Canis lupus familiaris: one gene and its partner. The protein of the gene in region 2 purifies or fractionates together with the protein of the main gene of each other region. This does not show direct contact. Links are inferred from orthologs where the notes say so. Each region holds a gene or a part of one and is shown on either strand. Other genes may lie near its edges. The genes, in order: SMARCA5 and BAZ1B.

The links.
Region 1: the proteins of BAZ1B (region 2) and SMARCA5 purify together in Homo sapiens (affinity purification with western blotting; 11 studies listed by BioGRID and IntAct, with this or other methods). This does not show direct contact. The link is inferred for Canis lupus familiaris from reciprocal best matches to the Homo sapiens genes BAZ1B and SMARCA5.

The regions. Positions count from the first base shown.
Region 1 is NC_049236.1:43,021,697-43,026,309, forward strand, and holds the start of SMARCA5 (SWI/SNF-related matrix-associated actin-dependent regulator of chromatin subfamily A member 5), read left to right. Parts: upstream 1-1,610; 5' UTR 1,611-2,081; coding exon 2,082-2,258; intron 2,259-4,613. UniProt on the Homo sapiens protein: ATPase that possesses intrinsic ATP-dependent nucleosome-remodeling activity.
Region 2 is NC_049227.1:6,663,210-6,667,022, reverse strand, and holds part of BAZ1B (tyrosine-protein kinase BAZ1B), read right to left. Parts: intron 2,052-3,813; coding exon 1,913-2,051; intron 1,021-1,912; coding exon 890-1,020; intron 1-889. UniProt on the Homo sapiens protein: Atypical tyrosine-protein kinase that plays a central role in chromatin remodeling and acts as a transcription regulator. Involved in DNA damage response by phosphorylating 'Tyr-142' of histone H2AX (H2AXY142ph).

The DNA of each region.
Region 1 (4,613 bases), on a different chromosome or scaffold from region 2:
TGTATCTCTCCTCTATTTTTAAGATTCCTATACAGATTTTATATGCTTGTATGAGAAACTCACAGTATAAACGCACGTTAAAAGACAACTGCCATTTTAAAGGCAGTTTTATTTATTGCTTTTCTTGCTATTTATTGGTTCCCTTAAATAATCCTCAGACTTTTCTTTAAAAAAAGATTTATTTATTCATACAGATACAAAGAGAGAGGCAGAGACATAGGCAGAAGGAGAAAGCCCCCTGCAGGAAGCCGGATGTGGGACTCGATGGCAGGACCCTGGGGTCATGCCCTGAGCCAAAAGCAGACAAACACTGAGCCACACAGGCATTCCAGTAATACTTAGACTTAAGAACCTTCCATTTACATACTTACATATATTTTTAGGGTTTCCAAAACAGGGCCCAAGATATGTATTATTATAGAGTGGAGAAATATTCCAAATATTAAATGTTATATTCTTCCTACTTAACAATGTCAATATTAAATACATTTTTATCAAACAATTGTTTATTGTGTGTATATGTCAGATACCACCCTGGACACTAACTTTTACCCTGATACCTGAACTTTTTTAGGTAAAAGAACATTTTTTAATATTAAAAATAAATTTTCTCAATAATATAAAAACTCATTTAAAAAATAAAAAATACAAACACAAAAGAGTTAGGACATATACACCACCACTTTCAATACTTTTATGACTATCCTTTCAAATTTTATCTATATTTTTGAACTGTTAAAATTTTTTTTCAATTGACACTATGTAATGAACATTTTTGTACTTTAAAAAAATTTTTTAGATTATTTTTTTTAATTTTTATTTATTTATGATAGTCACACAGAGAGAGAGAGACAGAGGCAGAGACATAGGCAGAGGGAGAGGGAGAAGCAGGCTCCATGCACCGGGAGCCCGACGTGGGATTCAATCCCGGGTCTCCAGGATCGCGCCCTGGGCCAAAGGCAGGCGCCAAACCGCTGCGCCACCCAGGGATCCCCTGCCTGCAACATTTCTTAATGAAAGAAGGTACTTTTTATTGAATATTTGGTGGTTGAGGAAAACACAACCCACCGCCTCTCTTCCTTGGTTACTCGTTTCTCACGTGGCCACGTGCATAGTTCTTTTTTTACTTTTAGCATGTAAATTTGGAGGAAATACAGTCCAACTTGTATCGAAGTACAAGAAATTTAGAAATGATGAATATAGCTACCATGGGAAGACGAAAGAAAAATCACACAAACTTTTCATGAGACGAGAAAGACGTCATTTGGGACAACCGTAACGTCACCGCCATGGCGTCACGCCTATAAGCGGAGGCGATAAAGTGTTAAACTCCGCGCACAGCAGCGTTCCATGCGCGGCGCGAAGTTCCGGCGAGTTCTCAGACGGTGCCATCCGCCCCCGCCAAGCCCGGGGGCGAGCGCGGACGAGCACAGCCGTTAGACCCCGCGTTTGCGTCACGCCTCGGAGCGACGCCCAAACCTACGTCTTCACACACGGCCCCGAGGCCACGCCCACTCCTCGCCCTGGAGGCCGCTGGGAGCCCTCCGGGGGCGTGGCCAAAGGTGAGGCGAGGGAACGCGCAGGCGCACTCAGAACCTAGTCAATCAGCCAACTATTAATCTCGCGAGGGTTGAAAGTCGGTGGCGTAGGTAGTTGTCCTGGATGCTGGTGAGATAGATGATTTTTTTCCCCGAGGAAGAAAAGGGGGCGGCGAAGCTAGTTCCCGGCGTCGGTCTCTCTTTCGCTTTCCTTTCCCCTAACTCCAACCCTCCGCCCTCCCGTAAATCAACCCGCCTTCCCTGACCTCGGTGACCCAGGCGGCCCCGCCCACTCTTGTCGACGTGATTCCCGCCGTGAGGTAAGCGCCGCTCGAATCCCGAGCCCCGCGGAAGAGGAGGCGGACGCAAGGGGGAGGCTGCGGGCCCGGTTCCGGCTCGTAGGAGAGCCGCGGCGCCAGGGGGCATTCGGGTGGCCCTCTCGCTCCTCCGTCAGCTCGTTGCGACGTAACCACCCAGGCCCGGGCCTTCTCATCTCTGCCGAGCCGGGCCTCTGGCAGCAGCGGGTGACGCACACGGAACATCATGTCGTCCGCGGCGGAGCCTCCGCCACCCCCGCCTCCCGAGAGCGCGCCTTCCAAGCCTGCAGCCCCGGCCGCCAGCAGCGTGAGCAACAGCAGCAACAAAGGCGGCCCGGAGGGCGTCGCGGCCCAGGCGACTCCCTCTGCGGCTGGCTCCGGCCCCGCGGACTCCGAGATGGAGGTGAGAGTGGCTTGTGGCGCGGGGCGAGGGCGCAGTGGGGAGGGGGAGCCGGTTCCCTCGCCCGGATTTCAGTGATCGCACGCAGAGCCGTTTCCCACCCCTCCTGCATCCAAACTCGGCCTCGGACCCTTGGGATCCGAAGTGATTAACCCTGCGCCCTTGTGCTTAACCTCCCCACGCCGACTCCGATGGATTTCTGGCACTTCATGTTTACATTATTTGTCTCCAGCGAATCTTGCCAAATTCTCCAACGCTGTTATTAAACACATGTTATTGATTACCGAGGCCGAGAAGGACCTACCCGATTTTTGTTTTCTGTGGGTTTTTTTTTTTTTTTTTTTTTTTTTTTCGGTAAACTCCCATAATTCCCTCCCCCATCTCTGATTCTAGCTTTTAGTTTCCACTAAACTTGCGGGAAGGTAGGGAGAGATGCCCCTTAGTGGCGAGGGAAGGATGCGCGGGGTAGGAAGGCATTTAAAAGCGGTGCGTCCGAGGGCCCAGACCTTGTTTTTCTTCATCCCAGGCCTTGTGGGGGCGGTATCCGTTTTGGGCAGAAACAATGGCTTGAGCTGGAAGGCCGAGTGCGCAGTGGGGATAAGCGGGGCGCAGCTGCTCCCATGGAGGGAGACGAGGCTCCTCCCAGGCACTGTTCCTTTGGGAGGGAAAGCGACCAAGGCAGCAGCAGCAGCTGTCTTGGACCCCCATCTAATTTGAGTCAGGGGATGGATGGGTGAATGGTGAATTAATGACAATGGGGCTGTTGGCTTTCATGTTCAGCGCAATTCCTCTTTTTGGGCCTTGGCCTTCCTTCCACCCTCCTCCCCCAACCCCCCCCCCCCCCCCCGAAAATTGGTACTGCTCGCTAGTCGAGCCTCCCTTCCAGAGCTAGGGTTGGCCAGGGGATGGTGACAGCGCTGCGGGGGTGGAAAGTTTGGGGAGCTGCCAGGCGGGTCTCTTGGGCATGCTCCAAGACTTTGTGATGTCTGGGAACAAAGTAATTGCTTGCTCCTTCCAAATTTTATTCTTGGTCTTCGGTCTGTTTTGAGTTATTTTATAGTCACGGCCTACAGATTTCTGGGATTTTTTCCATCCTTAGGTAGAAGGAGTGAAGGTAATACTGCTCTGAAAAGGATCCTTGATGCAGAATTAACACGATACGTAAATGGAAGTGCAGTTTATCATTGGAGCATTTGGCGTACCAAAGTTTTACTTGGGCACCAAAGGTCTAATCTAGGGTGACGTAACATCACGTTAATAGTTTATGAGAGAATTTTGTGGTGAGGGTAGGTTTTAGTGCAGTAGGACATTGATATCCTGTATTTTTAAGTGTTTTGATTTTAGCTTCAAATTCTTATCAAGTGTTGCTTATTTTTCTTAAGGTTTTAAATGGTTGTTTTGAATTACCAGGACTGTTTAACTTGAATTCTTGCTTCGTGGTGTATGTAAGTGGGTTTGAAAATCTTTGACACTGAAAGCAATTGTGTGTAAATAGACAATTCTCTGCAAAAGGGTGTCCATAGTTTTCATCAGCCTCTCAAAAGGGTCTGTCGTTCAAATTCTGCAATAACAACCAGTATCTCACTGGAGAGGTTAAATATTAGAAAGCAGAGTATTTTAAAGCCTAAACTGCCTTTCAGTTGCTACTTTAAAATTTAAGTGGAATTAAAGTTTTAAGTATGGATATTGATGTCATAACAAGTACCAAATGAAGTCCAGGCCATATTTATTTGCCAAATAAAGAAATTGAGTCTTTTGATAAGTAGAATGTCTGATAGAACCCAGGTCTGGCTCTGAAATGGACCCATTTCCCACATATTTTACCCTGTCATATTCTTACAAGAAGTAGGTTCGAGAATTTTATTTCTTGAGGAATGACTTATTTTTGCTTTTTTGAAATAGGAACATGGGTAATTTCATTTTTTAAATCAATTTCTTCATTTACTAGTTTTAGTCTTGATTTTGTTTCTCTTCGTGTTGATTTAAAACAATTTTTTTTAAGTAAATGTACCTTTAGTCATTTTCTTAACTGAACTTGGTTGGAAATCATTGAAGTTCAGTGATAAAAACTAGGTTTGAGTCTATATATTTAATGTATCTGGCAATCCTAAATTAAATGCCTTTTTTTTTTGTTGTTTAAAAGTAGAATTTAACGTGGATTTTTTTTTCAAAATTAGAAAATAAATGAAGTCTTGGCCTTTACAAATTTTTTTCTGACAAGGCTGACCTTCCCAGGAATATTAGCTAGCTTTCTTTGTATGCAGTGAAATTTTCATTTTTGCTTGGTACTGATAAGGGAGTAATTTCGTTTTTTGTTTACTATGATTTTTTTTTTTGGCAACATGGATGGAACCTGTT
Region 2 (3,813 bases):
TCCTGCATCAGGTTCTGCACAGGGCATGGAGCCTGCTTGGGCTCTATCACCCTCTGCCCCTCCTCCAACCCTTAAAAAAAAAAAAAAAAAGGCATTATCTGACCCAAAATGTCAATAATGCTGAGGTTGAGGAAACCTGACCTAACCTGACCTTTTTTATTAAAAATTTTTTTCTTGAGATATTATACATATGAATATTGCAAATTTACACATAATGTATGTTCAATATATATGTGGCTCAAGAAAAAATATATATACACATCTATCAAAATATACTTGTGTATTTATTTATAAACTGAACATACCCATGTAACCAGAATCCAGATCAAGAAAAAGAACATCAGTGACCCTTTATGACCCTTTCTCACTTATTTTTAATTAGTTATTTGCTGTGTTTCCCCCTCACTAGAATTTCAGTTAAATGGCATTCAGGACCTTATCTGGCTTATTTGCTATCTTGTACCACAAAACATGAAAAACTAGGTGGCACACATGAGATGCTCTACTCAAACTGAATAAATAAACTCTGAAAGCAGAGGAAGAAGACCCGTAACTATCTTCTTAGCCCTTTACCTCAATTCCAGCCACTAAGGCACCTACCGAGACACTTCCAAGGAACAAAGTTTGAGGACTACTCATATAAAATCTAATACCTAGCTATTCTAATATTCAAGCTCTTTATCTTTTCACACTATACCTGAAACAAAGCTGATAATCAAATGCTAGTTTCCCTCCTAGATCCATGCATCTCACATTCTCCCGCCCCCATCAAATACATCTACCTAAGAAGACAATAAAGAAACTCTGCAAATAGAAAAAGTGACCAAGGAGAGACAGTCCTTAATAATGACCCTACTAGAAAGCGTAAAAGAACTGACAGAATACATACTACGGGGACAGTAATCTTCATCAGGAGAGTCTGCACGGTCTTTGCGGTGATTGAATCGGTAGTCGATGCTATCATGAACCCAGCCTTTTTCAATGAATAATCCTGGAACTTCATCTGAGAAGAGCCAGTATCTAGAAATCACAACCATATATTAATAAACTAATGACAAATCATGAGCACAGGATGACTTCAGTGTTAGAGGAATTGATACAGAGTATCACTGAACATTCAGACAGATACAAATGATAAAGTAAGGCACAGAATACCAACATTTTTTAAATTTGAGATTTGCTTTATAGCTTTAATTTTTTAAAATTTTTTTTTAAAGATTTTATTTATTTAAGAGAGATACACAGAAAGAGAGGAAGCAGAGACCCAGGCAGAGGGAGAAGAAGGTTCCTTGCAGGGAGCCTGATGTGGGACTCCATCCCAGGACTCTGGGATCACGCCCTGAGCCGAAGGCAGATGCTCAACCGCCGAGCCACCCAGGCGTCCCAATTTTTATAACTTCTAATATTTCTCTACTCTAGGTCCCACACAATGTACACATGTAAAACATATTACCATTTCTAATGACCTCTATTTGGATTGCGTTTCACCTATCATAATAATTTAAGCTCATATTTATGGTATCTTCCAGAACTGGGCCATATGATGGCTCAGTGGTGACTCAGTTGGTTAAGCATCTGCCTTCAGATCCTGAAGATCTGAGATCAAGTCCCTCATCAGGTTCCCCGCTCAGTGGAGAACCTGTTTCTCCCTCTAGCCCTGCTCAGGCTCCTGCTCTCTCTCAAATAAATAAATAAAATGTAAAAAAAAAAAAAAGAAGAACAGGATCATATCTTATTTAACTTTTAACTCTAACATGTGGGCAGAGAAAACATTCAATAAATATGTGATAAGCAATTGTTTCCAAAATCCATAAACAGGGAAGTTTTTCTATTCTAAATACTTTAGAGTTTCATAACTAGGAACAATATAATAACCCTAAAACATGACAAAAAAATAAATCTAATAACTTACCTGTTATGGTTTCTATCTGTACCAATAGGAGTCCTACGCATGACTAGCTTTGCCTTGGCAATTCCTTCCTGGAAAGCCTTCTCAGCAGCTGCTTTATGCTTTCGTATTCGTTCTTCTTCAGCTTCGCGTTCTAGTTTCACTAGTAAAGATCAAAAGAATCAACTAGATATGTTTCCTAATAATTCCTATTCTTATAAATTAAATAAGATACGGAACAGAAAATATAAAGGGAGATTTCTATCAAACCTTAGCTTCCTTCTCCTAATTCTGATCTGTTGTAAGAAAGTTTTAAAAAAGATTTTATTTATTTGACAGAGTGTGAGCTAGAGGGAGAGGAAGAAAGAGAATCTGAAGCAAATTCGATCACTACCCAAGATCACGACCTGAGCCAAAACCAAGAGCTGGCTGCTCAACCGACTGAGACCACCCAGGCACTCCTATAAGGTAGAAATTTCTGTCTGGTTTTCCTATGTCCTTTGAATTCTGGTCATACTGCAGCCATCAACTCAGTGAAAATTCTTTTCTCTCCAAAATTTAACTTTAGTAATTAGATTAATTTTATTAATAGTTTAAAATGAAATATTAAAACAGTCTTTAAGGGGTACCAGGGTGACTCAGGCAGTTAAGTGTCTGCCCTAGCTCAGGTCATGATCCCAGGGTCCTGGGATGGGCAGCTCCTACCCTCACTCTCACTCTGCTCTCTCAAATAAATCAATAAAATCCAAAACAACAAAAAACCTTAAGTGGAATTATTTGATCCTCAAAATGATCAGAATGAATAAAACCGGAATAGCTATTTCAAAATGAAACCTACTTCAGTCCTGAGAAATTTTATCATAATTCAGCTTATTAATTAATTAGCCTCAGTGACAAAAAAAAAAAAAAAAAAAAAGACCTAAGAAAGCAAAGGCAGGCAAGTACTTGTGCATAATAGCAATCAATGCATACTGAACACCATTTAGGGGGTTATTCAGTAAGTTACTAATGTTAATGATGAAAAAAAACGTTTTGGGGCACCTGGGTGGCTTAGTTGGTTAAGTGTCTGACTCTTGGTTTCAGCTGAGGTCATGATCTCAGGGTCATGAGATGAAGCCCCATGTCGATTCTCCACACTTGAGATTATCTCTCTCCCTCTGCCCCTGCCCAAGCTTGTAGGCTCTAAAATAAATAAACTTTTTTAAAAAAAAGTTTTAATCAACTTATTTCTGATCATTCATTATATGGGTTTATTTCATTCAGACAGAAATTTCTCTCAATAACAAAAACAGCCATGTAATCTTGCCTTTTTAGTTTTTCTATAACTGTAACAAATTTTGAAACTCAAAGTATAGAGCACTACCATTTACAATGCTAAAATTTTTTTTTTAACGATTTTATTTATATATTCATGAGAGAGAAGCAGAGGGAGAAACAGGCTCCCCCTGGAGCAGGGAACCTGATGCAGGGCTCGATCTCAGCCACCTTCTTTGTAGAAATTAACAAGCTGATTCTAAAATTACCATAGAATCATGAGGGACCCCAGAACATACAAACCTATTTTGAAAAAGAGTAAATTAGAAAAATTCACACTTCCCCACTTCAAACTTACTACAAAGCAACAGTAATCAAGACATTGGTATGGTATAAGGACAGACATATAGATCAATACAGGAGAACTGAGTCCAAAAACAAACCAGTGCGGCTATAGCCAATCGTTTTTGATAAGGGTGCCAAGATCATTCCACGGAGAAAGAACAGTTATTTGAATAAATGATGCTGCAACATCACTGAACAGCCACATACAAAAGAGTAAGGTTGGATCCATACTCTCATACCATATACAAAAATTAACTCAAAATGAATCAAAGACCTAAATATAAGAGCTAAAGACCTTGGATATGGCAATAGATTCTTAGGTATGA